Macaca fascicularis: one gene and its partner. The protein of the gene in region 2 interacts with the protein of the main gene of each other region in a pairwise test. Links are inferred from orthologs where the notes say so. Each region holds a gene or a part of one and is shown on either strand. Other genes may lie near its edges.

Region 1 (4,309 bases), on a different chromosome or scaffold from region 2:
ACGTGGAAAATTAGACTCTCTGCTTCACACAATCAATTCCACACAGACTGAAGATTCAAGTGCAAAAGGCAAAACCGTACAGCTACGCCAAGATAACCCAGGGAGTGTTCCGGGCATGTCCCTTGGGGACACAATAGGCACCAATGATAGTGGGCAGATGAATACACCATCTACGTAAAAACTAGGAGTTTCTATTCATCCACGATTCCAGGAAGAGGCTGGACGCAAGGATCACACCTGTAATCCCAACACTATAGGAGGCCAAGGCAGGAGGATCACTTGAGGCTAGTTCAAGACCCGCCTGGGCAATATAGTAAGACCCCCCCACCATCTTCATACACACGCACAAAAATTAGCCAGGCGTGGTGGCAGAGCATCTGTTGTACCAGCTAGTACAGAGGTTGAGGAGGGAGGACTGTTTTAGCCCAGGAGTTCAAGGTTAAAGTGAGCTATGATTATACCACTAGACTCCAGCCTGGGTGACAGAGTGAGACGCTGTCTCAAAAAAAAACAAAAAATGAAAAACAAAAGCCGGTCATGGTGGCTGACGCCTGTAATCCCAGCACTTTGGGAGGCTGAGGTGGGTGGATCACGAGGTCAGGAGATCAAGACCATCCTGGCTAAGACGGTGAAACCCCATCTCTAGTAAAAATACAAAAAATTAGCTGGGTGTGGTGGCGGGCGCCTGTAGTCCCAGCTACTCGGGAGGCTGAGGCAGGAGAATGGTGTGAACCCGGGAGGCGGAGCTTGCAGTGAGCAGAGATCGGGCCACTGCACTCCAGCCTGGGGTCAAAAAACAAAAAAACAAAGAAAAGAATTCCAGGAAGCTAAGTCAAAGGACAACTGGGAGATATTTGTAACTGAAAAAGGACTGACGTCTAGCATTTATAATAAATAATAAAAAAGATACTCTTACAAAACAATGGGAAAAAAGAGAATTTAAAAGCAGATTTGAATATACAATTCTCAAAACAGAAAACCAAGAAGCAGGCCGAGTGCCATGGTTCACACCTGTAATCCCAGCCCTTTAGGAGGCTGAGGCAAGCAGACTGCTTGAGGTCAGGAATTCAAGACCAGCCTCGGCAGCATGGTGAAACCCTGTATTCCCAGTTACTCAGGAGGCTGAGGTGGGAAGACCACCTGAGCCCAGGAGGTCAAGGCTGCAGTGAGCCATGATTGTGCAGCTGCACTCCAGCCTGGGTGACAGCGCGCCAGACCCGGTCTTAAACAAAACAAAAAAACAAAAACAAAACACTCTGAAAAATAATTTGGCATAATCCTATGATCCCCACAATTCCACTCCTAGATATTATACCCTAGAGAAATCCCAAGATTCCAAATACCTGATGCAACACATCACAATAATGTAGTAACAGAATTATTTACAACAGCACACAACTGGCCATAAGCTAAATGTGTCACTGTGATAGAATGGATAAAGAGCTTCGTGCTCAAAGGAATACCACAGAGCAGTGAAAATCAAACCAACTCAGCTGCAACTTGGATGAAACTGTCAAGGTGTCCACCAAAAGGACACATGCACGCCGCACACAAAATACACTATGATACCATCACACTAAGTCCAAATCAGGCAATCAAGCTGTGCCATTCAGGGGTGCATAAATAACTGCTAATACCGGGGAGATGGTACAGAAATGATCACCTTTCCAAAATGAGGGAGGGGAAAGTAAGAAGGCTGTGATTACCAATGGGAGGTTTCCAAGGAACAGGCATGGTTCTGTATCTCCACCTGTGTGAGGATCACAGGAGTGGCTCACGATGCTACTATTATTCGTGAAACTGAACAAAAATGCACTTTTCCATACATGTCATATCTCAATAAAAAACAATTACAACCTATAATATAATACGCCAGTAGCCGGGAACGTTTAAACAACCACGGGGCTTCAATAGTCTGCAAAACTACTTGGTTTATTTCGCACGGAAAGAGATACAATATAACATTGAGGAAAAATAAAACAAACCTCACACACCCACTCATTGGAATGACGCCAAACGGCGTGCAGAAAAGAGTAAAATGGACATAGAGCACTCCGGGCGGCCGGGGTCTTTGCGAGGTGAGAACAACAAAATGCAGTCAGCGGACACTGGAGCTACAGAGCACAGGCCGCCCCTTCCTCACGTGGGTTTCTCTCGGGACCCCCGCCCTCGCCCAGGTCACTGGGGCTGCGTCCCCGACGGGAGACCCCGCTGGGGCCGGCGCACCCCCGCCCCGAGAGTCGGTCGCTTTGGGACGGTGGGGGATTAGGGTGGTGAGGACTGGGGGCGGGGGAGGCGGGGGCGGGGGAGGATGAGTACCCGGGGGCCCAAGGAGGGGAGTGAGGACCTGGGGGTCGTAGTGAGAACCCGGGGCCCGGCGTGGAGGAGGCTGAGGATCCCAGGGGAGGTGAAAACTTAGGTAGGGGTGAGGACGAAAAGTAGGGAGGTGAGGACCCTAGGGGGGGATTCCCAGGGCGCGAGGAGGTGCGGGGGGGAATTGCTGAGAACCCAGGGTGGGGATGAGAACCGAGGTGGGAGATGAGGATCGAGGCGGGGGATGAAGACCCAGGGGGAGGTGAGGACTGGAGGGAGAGATCGGGAGGAGCGAGGAGGGGGCGTGAAGGCGGGGGCGTGAGGGCTGAGGACCCGGGGAGGCTGACAGTCTGAAGGGGGATGGGAAGGTGGGGGAGGGACCGAGGAGGGTCCGGAGCAGGGGCAGGAGTAGGGTGTGCGGGTCGGAGGTGGGAAGGCTGGGATTCTGGAGGCCGCGGCGCGCCCCGCCTGCCTCACCTCGTCCACCGTGCGGCGCGGAAGGTGCAGCGTCCCGAGTAGCAACTTGAGCTTCACCGCCGAAGAGAGGCCATGGAAGCAGAGACGGATGTTGTCGATGACCGCGGCCGTCAGCAGGGACGCGATACTGGGCGGCGCCCACAGCTCGTCCGTGGCCCCTAGCTTGTTGTGCAGCCACAGGCCCGTGTCGCTCTCCCTCATGGACGCCATCTTGGGGGAAAGCGCGCGTCGCAGCCCCGGCATCTTATGAAGACACCTACGCGCCCTCGGCTAGGACCCCAACATGGCGGCGCCCGTCGGGCTGCGGGCTGCAGAGGCGGCGCAGGCAGCAGGGTCCAACGAGCGGGGCTTCCAACGAGAGCGCTTCTGGGTGGCGGCCGCGTCTCCGGGAAGCTCTGTGGCAACGTCGAGAGCCGGAACGACGGGGTGACGCCGGGCAAGAACTATCGGCTTCCGTAACGCATCATGGCGGCGCCCGCTGCCGACTCTCGGGGAGACCGCAAAAGATGACGTCACGAGCGGGCGCGCGTCTTCGCGGCTTGGGAGCTCGGGATGCGGCCTGGCGTTCGCAGTGCAGGTGTCAAGTGCTGCAGACTCGCGGCCGTGCGTTGGGGCGGAGGTTCCCGGTGCGCCTGCCCCGTCCTCCGCTCTTCGCTTTCTCCCCGCTTGGGTCTCGGTGCGGACCTGGTCGCCCGCCCCCGCGGGCCCAGCACCTGCACAGAGAGGAGCCGCGGCCCTGCGGAGTGAGCCTGCGGGATTCCAGTCTCCGCGCTGAGCTTCCGTCCCCCGCTGAACCCGCTCTGCCCGTGGCGCGCCGCCAACTGAGCTGCGCTGAGCATGCGGATCGGAGGGCGCTCGGGGAGTGGTCCCGGGGCACCCGTGACCCCGCAGTGCAGGGAGGCCCCGGCCCCTACTCGGCCTGGAGCATATGGGCAGAAGCCAATAGTGAACTTTTCAGTTTTACGAGCTTGTCATTAGGTACAAACATGAGTAAAAGTTGAACCTCATTTTATTAAATTCATTTTACTATTTTGTCTTTTTGACGAGGCCTTCCTATGCTGGCCAGGCTGGTCTCAAACTCCTGAGCTCAAGCGATCAGCCCGCCCACCTCTGCTTCCCAGAGTGCTGGGGTTACAGGCCAGGGCCGCCTTGCCTGGCTTCTGTATTATAGTATCTTTTTTTAAAAGGTCTTTTCCTTATTCTTCCACCGCTATGCGCCTGCCGCCGTTCACAGCTGTTGCCACTGGGCAGTGGAAACGCAGGGAGAACAGGGCTCAGCTCAGCTGCTAGCAGTGCCCTGGCCTTGGCGGCTTGAACTTGGCAGTCCTGCGGAAGTCACACGGTGGAAACCCGCAAATGCTACAGATCAGGGCTGGAGCGGCGGTTTTGTTGACTGCTTAAACTGAAGAAAGTGATAGAGAAAATGTTGATGATGAAGATTAAACTTAAAACTGTGTCATGTCGATAACCATTACATTGCAAATAGCACATAAAATTTAAGAGAATATTTTTTAAATGA
Region 2 (4,210 bases):
CTTCACGCGTGGGCAGTCTCCCCATCCCTGCCCCAGCCCCCACCCTCACACCATCAGGTCAAGCCCCTGCACCCACCTGTCTGTCTGAACAAGAGTGTGGCCCTTCCCGCCCTCCCTGCAGTGACTGTGGCTTCCTGGGGACAGGAGGCGGCTGGGTGGAGATCTGGAAGCTGCTCCACAAGCCCTGCCCTGATAGCTGTGTGTCTCCGGGGAAGTTCCTGCCTCTCTCTGGGCAGCCTTGCTTTTCCCCACCAAAGGGGTGAAAATCCTTAGAACACGTCGAGTCTAGAGGTCAGCTACCCCATGCCCCAGGAGGCCCGTGCCTCTGCCAGTGGAGTCTGATCTTCCAGGGCTGGGACTCAAGGGGTTTAGGGTGTCCTGTCATTCCGGGGTTCCCCTGCTAGGCTCTGGAGGCCTCACTGTGAGGCCGGGGGCACTGCCTTGCCAGTCTGCGGGATGACAGGGTGAGGGGCCAGGTGTGCACCTCCAGCCCCCTCCCCATCCCCAAGGCCACCACGTGGACATGGAGCTGAAAGGTCAAATGTGCTTTAATGGGGGGTGGGTCCCAGGTCCTGCCTGGGCCCCGGGGAAGTGGCGCTGGCTGGGCCTGCCAGCTGCTTGGCCTTCCCTCCCAGCTTTCCCTTCTTGGCCGTCGAGGCCTTTCTCTTGCCGGGCAGACTGGGGGCTGGGGTGTTGGCGGTAGGGGGCCCCGGGTGGGGCGGCTGCTCCTCGTCGAGCGCCTTGAAGTTGAAGAAGTAGTCGACGTTGGACACGGTGTCCAGGATCTCAGGCACGCTGTAGTCGAAGGACAGCAGCTCCTCGGGCAGGCGCAGCGACCGGATGTCATCGGCTGGGTTCCCACCACTGCTGTCAGGCAGGGCCGGCCCGGGGACCTCGCACAGGGCACCCTCAGGCTCAGTGGCGCCTGGCAGGCAGTCGAAGAGCTTCATGGCGTCCTCGAGCAGCACCTTGTCAGGCAGTGCCAAAGCTCTGGCCGTCTCGGGGGCCTTGGCCTCGCCTGCTCCCAGGAGGGCCCCGTCCTTGGCCTCAGCCACCTTGAGCTCGCTGAGGCCTGGTGGGTACGTGGGCAGCCCAGGTCGGGCCCCGCCGCCCTGTAGCTCCTTGGCGGGGAAGGCCAGGGGTTCGGGCCCAGGGAAGTGGCCGAGGTGGCCCTGGAGGTGGCTGTAGGCGTCCGGGGGCAGTGTGGGCTCTGCAGGCAGCGTGATGAGTACAGGGGGTGGCTTGTTCTCCTTGGGAGGTGGAGGGGGTGGCGGGGCCGGGCCTTCCTCAAGTGGCGGTAGGGGCAGCTCCATGAAGGCGGCGGCGGGTCCCGCGTCCCCCACAAAGCCCAGAGCCTCTGGCCCGGGGCCCTCAGGCGGGAAGTAGGGCAAGAGGAACTGGGCCCCCCCCGGTGCTGGTTGGTAGTGGGGGTATGGGGGCAGCCCCGGGGCCTTGAGGTAGGGCTGCGGCTCCAGGAGGTAGCTGCCTGGGGCAGAGGGGCCCCCCACTGGCCCCCCGCTGCTTGCCGCCAGCTTGTACAGGGCCGACTGGCCCAGGTCAGGGGTGGTCCACTCAATCCGATAGATGCGGGGATCGAAGAAGCACCCGCATGGGGCCATCTGGAAACCTGTGGGCAGCAGGCAGGTGGCCTGAGAGCAGCCGCTGCCTGATGGGCCCAGCTCAAGCCTGGGGGCCTGTCTGGGGGATGCCACGAGAACCTTGCCATTGGGGGGCCCCTTTGGGGGACGACATAGGTATTGCTTTGGGGCCCTGGCTGGGTGATGGATAACACAGAGCTCGTCTTTGGGGCTCATCTGGGGGACCTGTGTGAAGCAGGGGAGCAGAGGCCATGCCTTCAGGCCCCCACCTAGGGACAGGGCAGGGGCAAGATGGGCCTGCCCTCAAACCCACTCCCAGCCTCATCAAGGGTTCAGGGGAGGCCGGTACCTGCTGGAGGGGCCGGAAACACCTCTTTCTCTGGGTCTGGGGGATGGTAGAGGTTCAAGGAGCCTGTGGACAAAGGTGCCCGGGTGGGTGGGGCCCTTAGGCGGGTGGGACCCTGAGCCCTCCCTAACAGGTGCCCCTGCCCACCCGATCGTACCCACGGCGGGAGGTGGCTCGGTGCAGGTGGGAGCGGGCTGGCTGCCCAGTGCCTCGGCCCCCTCCAGACTCTGGGGGCTGAAACCTTCCTGGGGAGCTGCAGGGGCATAGAAGGGTTTGGGGTGCTGCATGGGGCAATGGGGGGCCCAGCCCAGACAGGCCGGGAGGGCGGCAGTAGGAGCACAGGTGGCCCAACCAGAGAAGAGGCTGAGAACCCGGTGAGGTTCTGTTTGCCTGGTTACTCGGGGCAGCGGGTTCCAGCCTGCAGCCCGCCCACTGGTTGGGGTTCTGGGTGTTAGGGGCGGGCAGGGGCAGACGGTGGCAGAGACGGTCATCACGAGGGGAGGGAGGACTCTGGGCCAGGCCTTTGCCTCTTCCAGCAACACCCCCTAACAGCTTCGAGGCTGCCTCCTCCAGACAGGCTGCCCTGATCTCCACGGGCATGCAGGCTGAGGCTCCCCGGGTCCTGCATCTGCTACCTTCTTGGGGGTCAAGGCCTCTCTGGGCACGAGCAGCACCCAGCTTGGGGCAGGGCCCATGGAGGCGGCCAAGAGGTTTGGGGAAGATGGGGGCCAAGGAGGGGCTGCTTCAGGGTCACAGAAAGGCCTGGATTTTAAAAGAATAAAATTTATTGTACTCTCCTCGCCCCACGGTGCCCCTGGGAAAGCCTGAGGCTACTTATACGCGTTGGCCTTGTGCTTCGGCAAGAAGACGAAGTTGGGGGGCACTGGTCCAAGGAGCATCTCACTGTGGGAGGGCAGGTGGAAAGCAAGGTCAGGCCCAGGGCCTGCAAAGCACCCTCCATGACCCAGAGCCCTGACTCCAGCCCTGCACCTCCAGCCCACCCAGGCACCTGATGCGGATCCAGTCGGCGGCCTTCTGGCTGGCCATCAGCGTCTCCAGGTAGTCGCGGCCCAGGTAGTAGGGCGGCCGCTCGTTGATCCTCTGTGGGAGCCGTTCCAGCAGCCCCACGGGCACGTACCTGCAGGCAGGCGGGCAGGCAGCAGAACAGGCTTGAGTCAGCCCTAGTCAGCCGCGGCCCATGCGCCGCCCACCCCAGCCAGCCCCGGTGCCCACCGGCACAGGAAGGACAGCCACTCGAGCAGGAAGCGTCGGGTCTTCTCCACACCCTGCGTGTCCGAGCCCCAGTGCTCCAGGCCGTAGTTGGTAAAATCCCGCAGGATGTCCAGGCGCTCGGACGACGAGATGTCCCAGTGCCTCTGCTCCTTGATCTCCGTGAACAGCCACGGCTTGAGCAGGGCGCCACTGTGGGACGGGCGACGATCAGTGGGCCCAGCCACCAGCCTGCCTGGGATCGTGTGGCCCCTGCTTCCATGGCCTGGCCTGAGCTGGAGCCCAGACCACGAAACCTACTAAGCCTAGGAAGCCTCCCGGCTGTGTGCACACAACCTTCAAAGCCCAGGACTTTCTTTTCTTCTTTTCTTTTTTTTTTAGGCAGAGTCTGGCTCTGTTGCCCAGGCTGGAGTGCAGTGATAAGATCTCGGCTCACTGTACAACCTCCATCTCCCAGATTTAAGCAATTCTGCCTCAGTCTCCCTAGTAGTTGGGATTACAGGCGTGTACTACCACACCTGGCTAATTTTTGTATTTTTAGTAGAGATGGGGTTTCACCACGTTGGCCAGGCTGGTCTTGAACTTCTGACCTCAAATGATCGGCCTGCCTTGGCCTCCCAAAGTGCTGGGATTACAGGGGTGAGCCAGTCCACCTGGCCAAAGCCCAGGACTTTCAACCCACCATAATCAGATCCCATGGCAGCAGCAATTTTCAGTCCTCTCTGCCGCAACACAGCTGCAGCTCCTAACAGCGCTCTCTGCCCCTCCCAACTTGGGACCAACAGCCCGCCACAGAGCAGGGGTGGGTGACGGCGTGTCGGGTTCGGGGCACTGCTGCTGTGCATTAAGCTGGAGCTGCATCTCTGTAACATCTCTGGGCACTCACCGGGCAATCATGATCCCGGCAACACCAGTCTGCATGGCGCGGTTGGCATCCTCAAATGACAAGATGTCCCCATTTCCTGAGAAGACAGAGGTTGGGGTCTCAGGGAGACACGGGCAGGTGGGACCCTGGGGGTCTCCCTACCAGCCCTTC

What was found.
Region 1: the proteins of PRR22 (region 2) and NELFA interact in a two-hybrid assay, tested with the Homo sapiens proteins (2 studies listed by BioGRID). The two-hybrid records come from large-scale screens. The link is inferred for Macaca fascicularis from reciprocal best matches to the Homo sapiens genes PRR22 and NELFA.

The regions. Positions count from the first base shown.
Region 1 is NC_088379.1:2,156,239-2,160,547, forward strand, and holds the start of NELFA (negative elongation factor A), read right to left. Parts: upstream 3,016-4,309; 5' UTR 3,001-3,015; coding exon 2,791-3,000; intron 1-2,790. UniProt on the Homo sapiens protein: Essential component of the NELF complex, a complex that negatively regulates the elongation of transcription by RNA polymerase II.
Region 2 is NC_088393.1:6,543,832-6,548,041, forward strand, and holds PRR22 (proline-rich protein 22), read right to left. Parts: upstream 2,583-4,210; 5' UTR 2,436-2,582; coding exon 2,102-2,435; intron 2,011-2,101; coding exon 1,948-2,010; intron 1,628-1,947; coding exon 549-1,627; 3' UTR 531-548; downstream 1-530. Other genes in the region: DUS3L (tRNA-dihydrouridine(47) synthase [NAD(P)(+)]-like), read right to left, coding at 2,775-2,847, 2,954-3,082, 3,178-3,366, 4,061-4,136.